Lepisosteus oculatus: one gene and its partner. The protein of the gene in region 2 purifies or fractionates together with the protein of the main gene of each other region. This does not show direct contact. Links are inferred from orthologs where the notes say so. Each region holds a gene or a part of one and is shown on either strand. Other genes may lie near its edges.

Region 1 (7,451 bases), on a different chromosome or scaffold from region 2:
CTCACCTCCAAGGATAAAACAGGAAATCCACTTGATGGTTCAACATTTGTTTTCCTGGAAGGCATATCCTGCACAGGACCATCTCCACTGTTCTGCACTGAACAGTCTTCTCCAGCACTGTTCACAGAGAGGTTAATCTCAGAAGCTGGAAAGCTCGGTATTGTGGCACAATTCCCAGAAATCCTGGGCCTCCTGGCTTGGCTGGTGCCTAATGTCTCACCCTCCTGAGCTCCAACAGAGACACAGGCAAGTGAAGGGGATTCTGCAAGTCTTAGGAACGCAGCAGATGTGTCAGCATTGGTTTGATGGTTTGTCGCTGGCTCCTCTTCCCTTGCTACAGCTGGTCTTGCACTCAGGCTGGAGTTGATCTGCACTGACACTGCTGTTGCTGCCACATTGTGAGCTTCAAAGGTTCCTGGCACCAGGTCATCAGATATCTTGCAGACAAGTTCATCTTGGGTGCTCTGAGGGGATGGATTGTCCTTGGTCCAGCACTCCCTAACAGGCGTCCTAACAGATTCTAAGAGCTCCTAGTGCAGTGACAAAACACAATAAAGGCCTGTTATTTTAATGGCCACAAGAAAACAGGAACACATCCTTTGCCTCTGGCTCTCCTACCAATTAAATGATGTTTTACTTCAAATCCAACAGTCTTACAAGTATCGATGCAAGCAAGATGTTATTACCACAAATACCACAATCTTATTCCCTTAATAATAGAGATGATAAGAAAAGGTTCAAATCATTCCTGCAGCCTTTTTCTCTATGCATACCTCCCGTGTTATACTATGTGAATTTTAGAACTTTACATCTGAAGCTCCTATGATTCCAGCTGCTGGGCCTTTTATTACTAATAAAATACTCGTATTTTCTTCTAAAGCCAATATGGACAAAGGTGTTCGTCAGATAGAGATAAATCTACAGAGATAGCTAAATAGACAGCCGTACATAGGCGTTAAAAATAAATAAAGGTACATTTTAAAAGAGGTGCGAATCAAAATAATTTCCTTCATGGCCTTCCTAAAATGAAGACGTTCTAATGATGGGTCATTCAAATTACCTCGACCTCCGCATCCCCCAGTGACAAACTGTCAGGATTCTCTGGCTGTCCAGGGAGGAGAGTGGCTGGTGTTCGGCGAAATATCGGCACGTCCTCCTCACAGTCTGACTGCAGCAAGATGAACAAGACCCAGAGGATTCGGTTTCAGAAGCTGGGTTTCTCGGAGCCGGTACCACACCAGCCCCAAGTACTACCACGCAGCCACCACGACCCGCTTTCCTAAAAACCAACCCGGTGAAGCCGATTCTCAGTTCATCACCCAACAGTCTCGGAGTGTTTTGAAGGAGCCATAATCAACACTTTTAGATTCATAATAATAATTGCTTACACTTATATAGCGCTTTTTCTGGACACTCCACTCAAAGCGCTTTACAGGTAATGGGGACTCCCCTCCACCACCACCAATGTGCAGCCCCACCTGGATGATGCGACGGCAGCCATAGTGCGCCAGAACGCTCACCACACATCAGCTATCAGTGGGGAGGAGAGCAGAGTAATGAAGCCAATTCACAGAGGGGGATTGTTAGGAGGCCATGATTGATAAAGGCCGATGGGGAAATTTGGCCAGGATGCCGGGGTTACACCCCTACTCTTTTCGAGAAACACCCTGGGATTTTTAATGACCACAGAGAGTCAGGACCTCGGTTTAACGTCTCATCCGAAGGACGGCGCCTGTTTACAGTATAGTGTCCCCGTCACTACACTGGGGCATTAGGACCCACATGAGCCACAAGGTGAGCGCCCCCTGCTGGCCCCACTAACGCCTCTTCCAGCAGCAACCTTAGTTTTTCCCAGGAGGTCTCCCTTCCAGGTACTGACCAGGCTCACACCTGCTTAGCTTCAGTGGGCTGCTAGCTGGGAGTTTCAGGGTGATATGGCTGCTGGTCATATTTGAACAACTAATGGTTTCTTCCACACTGAAATATAGAAAAGAGAAGCAACATTCCAGCTGTTGCATCTTCTCCACACTTGAAAACAAAAAGGCGAAAGATTTTAATTGTTGGGCCTTCTTCAAGTGTAAAGAAACCCCAACAACCAAGAGGTTCCGTTTCACCTTACTGTCAGATTAACCTTGATCTGTTCCTTTTGCAGCAGAAGCCTGTCTGCGCAAATCCCTACTCAAACTTTTAATTTGGGTACCTTTTTAGGTTTTGCCTTGTAAGCGAGAGACGGTCACAAGAACGTGTTTGCTGGAATCAGGCGTGATGCATTGAGTGGCAGATCTGAAGAGACAGATCCCCTAATGGAAAGGGCAGGGTGAACAAAATATTTTTCTCGAATTATACTTAAGGCTCTTTGTTTTCGATGTTGTAGTATTTGTTGTTGTTTTTTTATTGAAAAACAGTTCTTAAAATAAACACCATAAACAAATCACAAACAACCAAAATACACATTATCAATAATAACAACCGAAGTCATGTCAACCATGGTTACCTTTTCCTTTTAACCCTAATTAATGGTCAAAGAATCTTCAATAGACTCTGGTTTAGTTAAATTTCTTAATTGGCTTCTAGGTTTAGGGTGTTGTTTTATTAACCGGATTTATTGTAGGCCTTATACTTACGATTACACGCTCGAGTTGAAAAATTTGTGTGGGAGTCTCTTTCAAAGCCAGTGAAAGGACGTGGAGGGCTAATTCGACAAACAGCAGGATTGAAGGGCAAGTGAAATTTATTTAATTAGCGTCCCTAGCAAACTGCTTGAATGCTTGAGGCAAACAGCAGCTGAGGCGTTAAATAGGACGCTGCTCAATTTTACAGACTTTTAACGTTTTCATCTAAGATGCAGCTCGGCGAAAGGTAAAGTTAAAAGGGTGTCATGTGAAGATAAAAAAAAAACACCGAAAACGGGGATCCCTTTTATGTCATTCATTTTAAACGCACAATCAGAAGTAATGCTGCAATTGGAGACGTGCAGTTAACCGAAAACTGTGCCAGATCCAATCCGCTGTCTGAGAGTGCATTAATTGTACAAATCGTGAAACATTTCATTACTGATGAACCAAGGGCAATCTCTTAAGACCTCTGGTCGAAAACCGTATGCTTGGTCACAAGACTACATTTTACTGTAACTCTTGAACAGAGAGTTACCCACAGTAACTTCGTGTATTAGGTATACATTATACAATACTGCAGTGGTAAACCACTACAGGGGACAGCTACCTTCGGGTTTATACTGACCCATTGCTGAAAATAGAGAATACCGATACACAATACCCTTTACCAACTCCAAAGGGTCCTACTGAATAATAGCGTCTCACAACTTATCTACAAAACTGTTCATAACCGTAAATCGTGCTGCCCATGGTCTTACTCCGGAGGAGGTATCGGAGTCGAGGGAGGGGATGAAGTCCTTCACGCTGGCAAATATCGAGTCCCAGTCCGGCCGGGCACCGGGGCGCTCCGAGCTCATCTTCAGCAGCTGCCGAAGGAAATCAGTAAATCCTAAAACACTGATCACCACATTAACAACTGCTGCACACTACCCCCCCCCCAAAAAAAAGTTAAAGAAAAGGGTGCTAACCACGAACGTCATCCCCAAAACAAGTGCATACATTTTAACCGACAGCACGAAGTGCCCAGTGAGCAGCTCGAATGACGCAAATGCAGGCAGTTGAAACAATTTTAAAAAGGGTGCGAGATGTGTACCTTAGTTCTTCAACACGTTAAAAACAGACGCAATATCATGAGCTGTGTTTCGCCCAAGTGTCCGATAGCATTTCCGATGTTTTAACACGCAGAAAGTCTTCAACAGAAAACTTACAGCCGCAGTCACTTCTTGCAATTAACACACGCAGCTGCGCAGCTTCTCGGTTACCAAGGCAACACAAGGTGCGCCACTGCGCTTCCCAATCCAGGAAATGTATAGAAACCCAGTTTCTAGAGATAATGTATTACTCCTTCACTATAAAGATGCTAAATACCTATTGCTGGCTAAGCAGGCCAATGTCTTTCATTTAAGGAATGTCAATTTATTTTACTCCTTTCCTTTAAGACTCTTTATTAAACACCCTCAAACTAATTTACAGTTGTAGACACTGCAAGGTCCTTCAAGCAAAAAAAACTATCTTTCGTAGTTATTTTTCTAAATAAAAATCCTAGGTTATTATTATTATTTGTTTTTTATTATTGCTTTAAAAAAATCCAGAACTACATTGCGTATAAAAGACCTTGTGTCCGTTAATTTCAAGATATTACAGCAGGCTCTTGATGTCACAAAAAAAATACTTTGGATTGGATATGACGCAGGGTCATCGAGGGGGCCTCACGGGAAATGTAGTTTATTGCAGATTAGTTCCTCCCTGTAGTTCTTCAAAGTGAGAAAAGGGAATGACTACAGATCCCAGCTTTTAAGGAAAGCAATTTCCTGGAGCGAAGGTGCAAATATACGAGTGACTTTGTAACTTGGGTTTGTTTATTGAGGTGGCGAGTGGTTGATCGGCAAGCCCTGAAACGTCCATTACGTGGAGATCAGACAAAGACCACAGCAAGTTGAGTGATAAGGTATTTAATCTTTTTTTTTTTCTCGAGGCTACACGGAAGCATTTTCACGGATCAAATGCACTTGTGATGAAGTGTTTGACGGACAGCAAGAGGGTAGAGTTCGGTACATGGAATTAATCGATGAAACTTAGCCACTTGCTTCGAGACTCGACTTAGTTCGGGGTCCATTATTTCTTTTCCGATAACCAATCCAGGGTCGCGGGAACTCCGATCCCAGCCCGACACACAATGGGCAGGATTAGTACTGGACGGGATGCCTTTCCATCGTAGGGCACGCATACATAGTCTCTCTCGTACACATAGGCGGAAAATTTAGAGATCCCAGTTTACATACTGTAGACAGCTAATCTTAAGACTGCGAGAGGAAACCAGAATACGCGGAGAAAGTCCACACGAACAAGGGAGAGATCATGCTAGCTCCACACAGACGGCATTTAAGACCAGATTCAAACTCGGGACGTAACCATTGCGAAACAACCGCTATACACAGGCGCTGCATTCAACTTAAAATAGCTAGGGGACTAGACGGTCGCACAAAAATTGTATGTTTTTCTTAACCGAAATGTTAATTAGATGTTCACAAACAAAGCTGATGATTGAATTTGTGTGAAATCGCACCACAGATACACTGATAGCACAAAATAGCAGCAAGAAAAAACTTCAATCTAAATATTACGACCAGATAACCGAAGCTTCTTGCCAGTATTTTATTTGTAGCATCGGAATTGCTACAAATTGATATGAATTACTTCATATCATGTTACTTTTTGTCTGGCTTAGTGCGAATTAAGAGAGTGAAAAACTGTACGTTTTCCAATTGACTGGACCCCACTTAGCACACTGACTCTTCAACACTCTGTGACATTGTGGTCCACATGGAAGAGTGCCACCTTAGTGGTCCACCAACACCTCTTACCTCAGCATCCTGATTCTTCCTGGGTGCCTCCCATCCCTGTACTTACTAACCAGGTCCAGGCTTGCTTCAGAAAACAGACAGGTTCAGGCTGCTTTCTAACAAAAATCAGCAGAAAAGGAAAAGCAAAAATCAGCCAAACTCAGTGGCCAATATGGTGGTATACCAAGTGTCTTCTAGATGGTAATTGTGCTGGTTAATGAACACAGCCCGTGGGTGGACTAGGTGGGGGTTCTAGGGGGTACTGGGGGTAACGGCGAGGGAGAGCACCTGGTGAGGTGCAGCCTGACTGACGGGCCGATTTCCCCCATCAGGAGGATGTCGGAGCTGAGTGACGAGGCCAGCGAGACGGAGCAGCTGGGGGCCAGCCTGTCCGTGTGGCTGGGGGCGGCGCCGCTCGTGCACCCCGAAGAGCTGGACGTGTCGCTGGACCTGCACACGGCATGCTCCATCGGCCAGTACGACGTGGTGGCCGAGTCCATCAGCAGGTGGGAGTCGGGCCGGGGGGTTGCTGAAGCTTGCCCCAGAGGGGGTAGGACATCGGAGGATCTTTTGTTTTTTATGCTATTCTGCTATTCTGTCCCAGCCAGCAGACATCCACAGAAGAGCGCGTTTTAACCTGCCTTTGTAAAACTCGGAATCGAGGTCATTCAGTCAGACCAGTAGGGGTGAATTCCGCATTGATATGCACAGGCGTGAGGGAGAGAGACAACAGGTGCAGGAATATTCAGCACCAGAGGGGACAAAAGAAAGACCAGGTGAGAATGAGCCCTTCTGAATGAAGTGAAATCCGGAGGACGAGGTCTAGGAGAAGGGTGAAAAGCTCAAATCTGGAAATGAATGGAGAGGATGTAGAAAGGAAATTGGCTGATTATTGAGACTTGAAACTCCTGCGTTCTTCGTTTTTTTCAAGTGGTTTGTGATGGATGATGTGCTCCTAGTGTAAGGATAATCTTGGTTCCGGATGTCTTTCTGGAAGTACGAGTCCTGGAAATCCCTGCAAAAAGACACAAGGCAGGGTAGGATGTGCTCTCTCTCTCTCTGTCTGCCGGGAGAAGCAGAGACGGAGATGCGCTTTCTGCTCTCCAGAAAGAAATACAGTAGGATTAGACATCCTTCCGTTTCTACACCTGCTCGAATCAGAGCTGTCAATCCTACTGGGGAAGAGGGGGATAAAATAGACTTGAGCTGCAGTACATGATCGTCTGAGAAAAGGAGAGTGAGTCTCTGAAATAATAATAACAGTTCTGTAGTAAATGTCTTGCTAGGTCCTGCTTTGATAGCACTGTAATTCCTCAATCATACTGAGTTTGAAAGGTCAGTGTGAATTGAAGCAGGGAGCGGTAAATTGAATTGATAACAGTTCCTAACTCTTCCGTGGTCCCTCTTACCCCTCTCTGAGCTTTGTTTCCCTGTACTCTGTGTCTGCTGACGAATCTCCCCAACTGATTCTTTATTTCCGTTCACTTCACTTGCTTAAAACCTCGTAGATTAACGGGAAGCTCTGAGAATGAGCTCTGTTCAGCAGATTTCCTCTGCCGTTTTAAAACGCCTCCCCTGCATCTGGGACTGGCATCCCACGTAAGACACACTTCTTAAGATTTTAAGGATCGATGCCTCAGTGCTAATACTAATGCACAGAGAAGGATCGGCTGTGGAAAGGAACTTGCACAGAGCCTCTTGTGGTTAGAACTGCTGCCCCCTGGTGGTAAACACAGCTGGGGTGCCTTTTTGTGTGAAGTTTGTATGTTTTCTGCTTGTGCTCTTGTTTCCTTCCATCTTCCATTGACCTTATAGCTGTGGGTCCAAGTCTGGCGTCATCCTAAATTGCCTGTCTGTTAGGAGTAGAATGCAGTTCAGAACTGGTAGCGATGAGTTTCAAAGTCCGTCTGCGAGAGCGCAGGGAAACCCTTTCCATCTCGACTGGCCGACTGATCGTTTTTTTCTTCGCCGCTCAGGCGGGAGGTGGACCTGA
Region 2 (7,314 bases):
TGTAACAACAATGAAATGCTGGAGAAACAACAATGTAAACATCATGGCAAACACCCACTTTGGTTTTGTTTTAAATCCCTAATGTTAATTCTGAATTTGTGAAAAAAAATCTATGAGGCCACAGACACAAAACTAAAGCGAAACATGACCAATTCTTCTTTGGCATGGCCTAATGAGGTAAATACGTGTTTGACAGAAGATGAGCCCAGCATGCACAAAACCACCACTGCTCGTTTACCTTTAAGCTCCTGGGTGGAATGGGATTTTTCAGTAAAGTACTAACAAGAAGAAATACATGCAGCTATCAGGGTGAAAGTATGCTGCTTTGTAATTGGGATTTTCATGACCAATTCTGCCAGAAGCTAAAAACAGCTGGTAAGAACTTACTTTATCTCTACGCTCAAGAAGATGAAGAAAGCCTTCGTTGCATTAAGTCAATAAAGATCCTTTCCCCAGGAAGCGCAGTGTCCTGGTTTAGAGTTTCTTTTTGAAGGGATGGCTTGTGCACTGCAGAGAGACAGACAGTAACTGCGAGACTTGGGCCTTTGATTTTAGGAATCACTTGAAATTTTGGGAAAACAGACAGAAACCTTACCGAAACAGGCAAAAGAATAAACGATTCGATTCCACTTAATGTTTTTCAGCCTCTACAATATCAGTGGGTATTGATAATTCAGTCTCTGATGTACCCTTGTTTTTTGAGTAAACCTTAAAAGCATTGTTTAAAACATCGTAACACGTTCTGTGTCTTTTAGGAAAAAACTCTTTAATAATATATCAAAACATACTCATAAACCACCACCAGGCTGCATCTCACAGTCCAGATTAAACATGCAAGAAGACCTTACAGTGCTGCAAGAAGTATCTACTTATACAGGAATGATCACTGAGGTAACATTTCACAATTCAACTGCACATCAGGCAATAAGTCCTTTGTTTGGTAGAACCTGGAAGATTAGTAAGAGAACAACTTGAAAAAAATGAAAAAATGGATTTGCAAATTGAAAATAAAACATTTTTTTTCTGTTGTTAAATAGCTCTGTCTAGCTCTGTCTTCATATATACAGTAAAGTTTCATTTGTACCTTGTGTATGTTAAAAACAACATCTATGTTTATAAGCTTATGTTTTCCTTTAACTAGACATTAACAAGGATAACAGAAGTTGAAATCTATCAAATAAATTATTGGACCATAATCGAATATGATATTAAAACCGTGAAAATATCTATAGTCCAATAAGTATTCCATCTAGAAATGAACATATCATTAACATATTATACTAATTTAATTTTCAACAAATAACAAAATGACATTTAAAGCCTTTTAAACAACAACTTAAGTCAACAACATCAACAGTCAGAATAATGTGTGCATCGATTTGAAGACAAAAAGGAATTATACTACTTGAAATCTTCAATTGTAATACCTACTTATTTTTCACACAGTCATTTCAATGAATGGACACAGCAAACTAAATAATGGACTATCAGAAAATATTAAAGTTTACTGTGATAAATGTTATTACTCTGAGATATTCGTTAACTCCTGATGAATAATTTAAGTTTTAAGTGAAAATACAAATGTACATTTCTTAATTATGAGTTCTCAAAGATGATAAAAATTATAACAATTATAACTCACTTAAAAGTGAAAATAGTCTAAAGCTATTCAACAAGATACAAAGATGTTAAATCACGGTCTAAGCAATCAAGACCACAAACAATAATATCAGTGAAAGAAGTTGTGCTCTTCACTTTTAATTGAACACATTTAACCCTTTGTCTGTCTGCTCAACCAAGCAGCTGAGACGTGTTCACCACAGGGTATCATTATTTTGTATGGGAAAATATGAATTCCTTATTTTCTCAACTTTGGCTCAGTGAAGTGTCAACTGAAGGAGTCTGACGTTTTTTTTTTCTGTCTAAATTCTATTTCCATGAGTGACAGTTAAAAGGTTCAGATTTTTTTAAAACTTAAATAAATGTCCAAGGAACACAGAGGGAACTCTAGGATGTGGGAGTAAGCAGCTCGCTCTATATTTAAAGCAATATTTTACTTTGCCCAGGAGAAACAGCCCCAACACATTGCACCCCACATCTTTCCTAGGTGCATGTCCACATACTGTAGTTGCCCATGGTGATGTTTCTGTGCTCACCCCCCAACATGAAGACAAAATGCAAGGAAAAAATAATTGTAATTGGTGTTTATTTATCAGTGACATTATATAATGTGTTGTTGTATGCCTTTTGAATTTAAGAAATTTAATTGGAGCTCTGGGGAAACTCATCAGGTGTATAACAGTCACAATGATCAATACACATTGGTCTTTCTGGAATTGTCTATATAGCCCAGGGTTTCTGAAGTTGATGTGCACTGTTGATGTGCTACAAAAAGCATTTTATGGTTTTCTTAATATACCTCAATTGAAAGGTCTGTATTTTAGTAATTTTTGTCTCACAAAACCACTCATTTACTTCTTCAATCATTGGAATTGGTATTTCTGCATGTACAAAACATACATGAACAAGAGAAGATTACACATTGAATGGAACTCATGACTGTGAACATTAAGGTGGTCATATACCATTCAAACCGTTGGTTTTAAATCATTGTATGAAAACTGTACAAATGAGGCCTGGCATGTGTCTGTTCTGTCTAGTTACAAATTACAAACCAAATACTCAGTACAGAGACTTCATCTACACACAAAACAGAATGCTTCTATCACATAGACTCTTTAGTTTCCAGTTTTTGCAGGCAGCTTGATTTTATTTAGGCCCAAGTTTTAGAAAAAAAATCTCCATAAACCTTTATATTATAGGCTAATATATGATCTCTAAATAAATCTATTTTTTTACAGTTTGATGACTTTTCATATACCCTTTTAATTACTCCCCTAGAAACCAGAAATTTGAAATTGTTAAGACGATCCTTATGTGTACTGTATATAACTGATCCTATTGAAAGAAGAGAGAAAATTGTAAACAATACAATACACACAATGTAGCCTCAGCTATAATCCCTATATATCGCTATCCACACACCAGATCTTCAGATCTTCCTAAAGCCAAACACTAAAGCTGAATGTCAATGGGAAGCATATATTTAACTTTTTAAATATTTTGCATTTGCCAGGTATAGACAAGATTAACAAAAAGAAAGAGATTTCTAATTCAATAGTGTAAATTGTGGGTGTGCAAAGAGTAAAAAAAACATTTGTCTTTGTAAAAATTCTTAGAAACAAACAAAATCTTAAAACATCTGCTTAATGTGTAATGAATATCCATTACATTTTGTTAGATTGGTATTCATGCATCTAATTAATATTTTAATCTACAGTTGGGATATTTTGCAGAAACATTACTCACATTTATGATAGAATGCTAACAGAGATGGAATTAACAAGTAAATTAATGTCACAATCACATTTAAGGACTTGTAGATGTTAATTCAAGTTAACTAGGGAGCAGCTGGTCTCAGTAGAACAAAGATTTCATTAGAACATACAATGGAAATGAAATTTAAATATGGCTTTTTGCCTCCTTCCATTATTTTCTAGTAGAACATAGTGCAGAACAAAGTTTCACTGGATACTAGGGTCACTAGATACATTTCACAATCCACGTAAATTTTAAAGTACTATAATGAAACATTGGTTATGTTGAGTAAAGCGCAAAGTACAGTATATATTACATATCTGACCACAAGTAAACAAACATATATTCTCCCTTCTAAAGTTTTCTTTCATGAAAAAAGAATATGATCACAAGAGATGGAAATATGGTTGTTACGCTATGTCGCTTTATGTTGATGCCAAATATGTTTTTTAAGAAAAGAGCTTATTCTGCTCCTTTATTCTTATTTATAATGGGAATAATAATTTATATTTAGTTACTTTCACTAAATGCCTATACAAGCGTTTCTATTCACACATACTTATGTAAGATTAATGAAAGTTTACAGGCTTTCGTGGACAAAGTGCTGTGTGATTGATTTCTTTTTAACTTAGTCAAACAGAAGAGTTTGCTCCAGGACACTCATTGCTCAGACATCAAAATGGAAGAAGTCTTTTGCCCATAACACTGCGGGTCAACAGATACCGGTAAAGTATGGAAAAAAATGGTATCGTTCTTAACAAACGCACCACACACAGATATGAATGGAAACACCAACCACTTGGTGCTGTCATACAAACTTTTTGAAAACTCGTCACTTTCCCAGCGTTGCGGAGTTTTTGTACAGGCTCAGTGGTGACTTGCGCCCCGCCCCTTTCCTCCGGGAATGCTGGGATGTTTACATTACTGGCACTGAGCAGGAATGGGGAGCAGCTGAGGCACAATCCCTCAACACAAATCACACTTTTCAACTAACTTTAGAAGTTCAGACGGTAAAATTTTAAATCCGAATGGTAGGCTGCCACGCAGAAGCGGCCCACGAACTCCACTGCAGACCTTGAAAAAAGTAATCGAAAAGGCAACCGCCATCAGAAGTCCCAGCAGTGAAAACACACCACTTCCTGGTAAGAAACCCCAAGAAACTGTGAATACGCTTCGCATGCTTGGCTTCAAAAATATTTTCTAAGTGGCCTTTCAGTTTTCTGTGGCGGAAGAAAGTTCATTTCGTGCTAAAACGTCGATGAAGTGAAATACTATCCTTCTTTTTTACTCTGGATCACGTTTTCTTAATATCTAAAAGTTCATTTTTAGTTCACTGTCATGGATTCCCCACTGTAACTAAGAGAAACGGACCTACAGCTACCGTGGTTGACTTACAGACTAAACTAACTTTATAAATGAAGTCCCACCATTCGGTCTGTTGGGCTTTCGCAACGTTTTAGAAGTGCGAATCTTTATCTAGCCACATGTACACTATTTTGCTCACACTGTGCTATTAACAACGATGGTATTTATAGGCCGTATAAATATAAGAGGTGGTGGATATTGTGGACAGCACAGTACGTTTGTCTGTGACTGTGAAAGCCAGTATTGACGCTCTATTAACAATATAGACACACATAGAAAAAAAAACAATATTTCAAGCCTTTAAGAGAGCAGTCTTGAACAGGTTTGACAATAGGGCCATCCCACCCTGATTTCAGGATGACTCATGCATATATCAGCCTAATTCCTTTTTTCTCCTATATTGATATAACTATAGCCTTATTACTTTTTTTTTCTCTCAACTGAACCAAGCAATAGGATAACAGCTGCGGACATCAGGTGGGTAGGGATTAGACGTACTACAATGTTTGAATTTATAAACTGTAGCTCTTGTACATGTATGAGAAAGCCACATGGAAGCAAGGGTTTTCCATCATTGCAAGAAAATAAATCTTGATTCTCCTGTGCTACATGAATAACATAAAATAAATAAAATAAAAAAGGAAATAGAATGTGCATAGTTAAAGCTGTGTGGGGCAGACATATGTCAGTCTTTCACCAATGGGAATGAAAACCATTTTGAGACAGTTCCTGCTATAAACATCTCTTGCACCAATGGGAGCAAAAATCATTTTGTGACTGTTCCTGCCATAAAGGTCTTTTCCACTGATGGGAACAAAAATCATTTTGTGACTGTTTCTGCTATGAAGATCTCTGGGGAAATGTGTAACATTGCACATCAGTGTAGCTTATAAAATTGACATAAACTAGTGATAGTGGCCTTATTGACAGAAGCTTGAGACAGACAGCGTGGAGTGCGAGCAGTTGTACATTCTCAGTGAATCAGGTCATGTGTGACCCAGTTAAACAGCAGATTGTAGGAGAACATTCCCCCTCCCCTTTCTTTCTGCCTTCTTCATACTTGGCCTTTGAACCTATGATTTAAAGCTTCACTGCCCGAGGTCATACACTGAAACGTGTGTTAGCACAAGACAGTTTTATGTTTTTAGGCATTTTCACTTGATCACGTCAGGTAATATCCATAAAACCTTGTGGGAATTCATGATGTCTTCAGGAGAGTTGCAGTTGCAGTGTGAAGCGATTGGAGAGCAAAACTTGCTACCGACAAGAAGAAGAGGCCTCTCAGCCCAAACAGCCCATTTGCTAGTTAGCAACTAATTGGATCATCCCCCAGCCCTTTCTTGATAGAAGCCAGGCTGTCGGCTTCAACAAATCTGATTCTCAGATTCCCAGCTGATTGGGTAGCTTGTTCCATACCCCCACAGTGCTTTGCGTAAAGAAGTGCCTCCTGTTCTCTTGTTTCAAATGCATTTCCATGTATGTTCCACTTGGAACCTTTAACACAAAGCAGAGGACACAAGTGGAAAACTACTAAAATGGTATTCAGAAATTTCAGCAATGGAACACTTAGGTTGTAAGTCAGCTGTTGTAACAATAATGTTTACAGTACTTTAAGAAATTATTCTTTACAGTATAGACCTTAGTAAAGGACCAATTTTATTAGCATTAGCCTGGGAGAGACCAAGACACACACTAATGGTCTGTCTAATGCTGACCACCTCTTTCACTTGCATGTTATTTTGTGTCAGTCTTAAAATCGACATACCGTACTTAGTGTTAAACCCCAGCTCTGAGGGTGTCTGGCCATCGCTGATCACCCTGCTCATCCTGTGCAGTGCTGTTACTAATGGTCCTCTCATGTTAGTTCCTAGCCATGATGAGCTATTTGCACCCAGTAGCCTGCATTTCAACCAGCAACCTGTTTAGGGTCTGTGCTGTCCCATGGGAAGCAGGGTGACCCACATTGTAGATCTCTCTGCAGCATTTTCTGAGACTAGGGTAGTCGAAAAGAGTAACGCAAAACAAGATGAAAATAGCTCAGCCTGTTGATACCCTTTATCGTGGATCTGTGCCTTTAAGAACAACATAAAGCAGATATAAATAGATAATACTTTATTTAACAAGATACTGTAAGTCAGTTGACTAAATTGTTTTTTTCTGTACATTGATGATCTGGTGAAGAGGCTTGCACTAAGGTTCTCCAGAGAATATTTAGAATTGAATATGTTTGCTTAAAAACCTATTTAAAATAAAGTTCCGGGCAAGAGAGATGTTTGCTTTTCATTGGTAGCAAAGGTTGTTAGGCGCAGACCACTTCAGCCATGGCTTGCAAAGTGGTCTGGTTGGAGGCCCCTGGACTGGGCTGGAAAAAGAATTTGTAACATTCTTTATTTTACAGAAATAAGTGGTTGACCAGTCAGATTTTATTCTCTGCTTTCTGACATTCTAGAGTTATTGCTCAATCTTGAGCAATGTTTTTTTGTGATTGTTACCTGGCATCTTCAGCCATTATTGTTTAAGCAGTTATGTATTTTTTTAAAACGTTCTGTGTGTTCAAGCAATTGTTCTTCT

The links. The genes of interacting proteins can lie anywhere in the genome.
Region 1: the proteins of nek7 (region 2) and anks3 purify together in Homo sapiens (affinity purification with mass spectrometry; 3 studies listed by BioGRID and IntAct, with this or other methods). This does not show direct contact. The link is inferred for Lepisosteus oculatus from reciprocal best matches to the Homo sapiens genes NEK7 and ANKS3.

What each region holds. Positions count from the first base shown.
Region 1 is NC_090714.1:7,097,219-7,104,669, reverse strand, and holds the start of anks3 (ankyrin repeat and SAM domain-containing protein 3), read left to right. Parts: upstream 1-4,404; 5' UTR 4,405-4,563; intron 4,564-4,596; exon of another isoform or gene 4,597-4,666; intron 4,667-5,479; exon of another isoform or gene 5,480-5,544; intron 5,545-5,790; 5' UTR 5,791-5,794; coding exon 5,795-5,964; intron 5,965-6,143; exon of another isoform or gene 6,144-6,234; intron 6,235-7,434; coding exon 7,435-7,451. Other genes in the region: dynein axonemal assembly factor 8, read right to left, coding at 6-530, 1,061-1,168, 3,347-3,472. UniProt on the Homo sapiens protein: May be involved in vasopressin signaling in the kidney.
Region 2 is NC_090704.1:11,709,578-11,716,891, reverse strand, and holds the start of nek7 (serine/threonine-protein kinase Nek7), read left to right. Parts: upstream 1-4,282; 5' UTR 4,283-4,520; intron 4,521-7,314. UniProt on the Homo sapiens protein: Protein kinase which plays an important role in mitotic cell cycle progression. Required for microtubule nucleation activity of the centrosome, robust mitotic spindle formation and cytokinesis.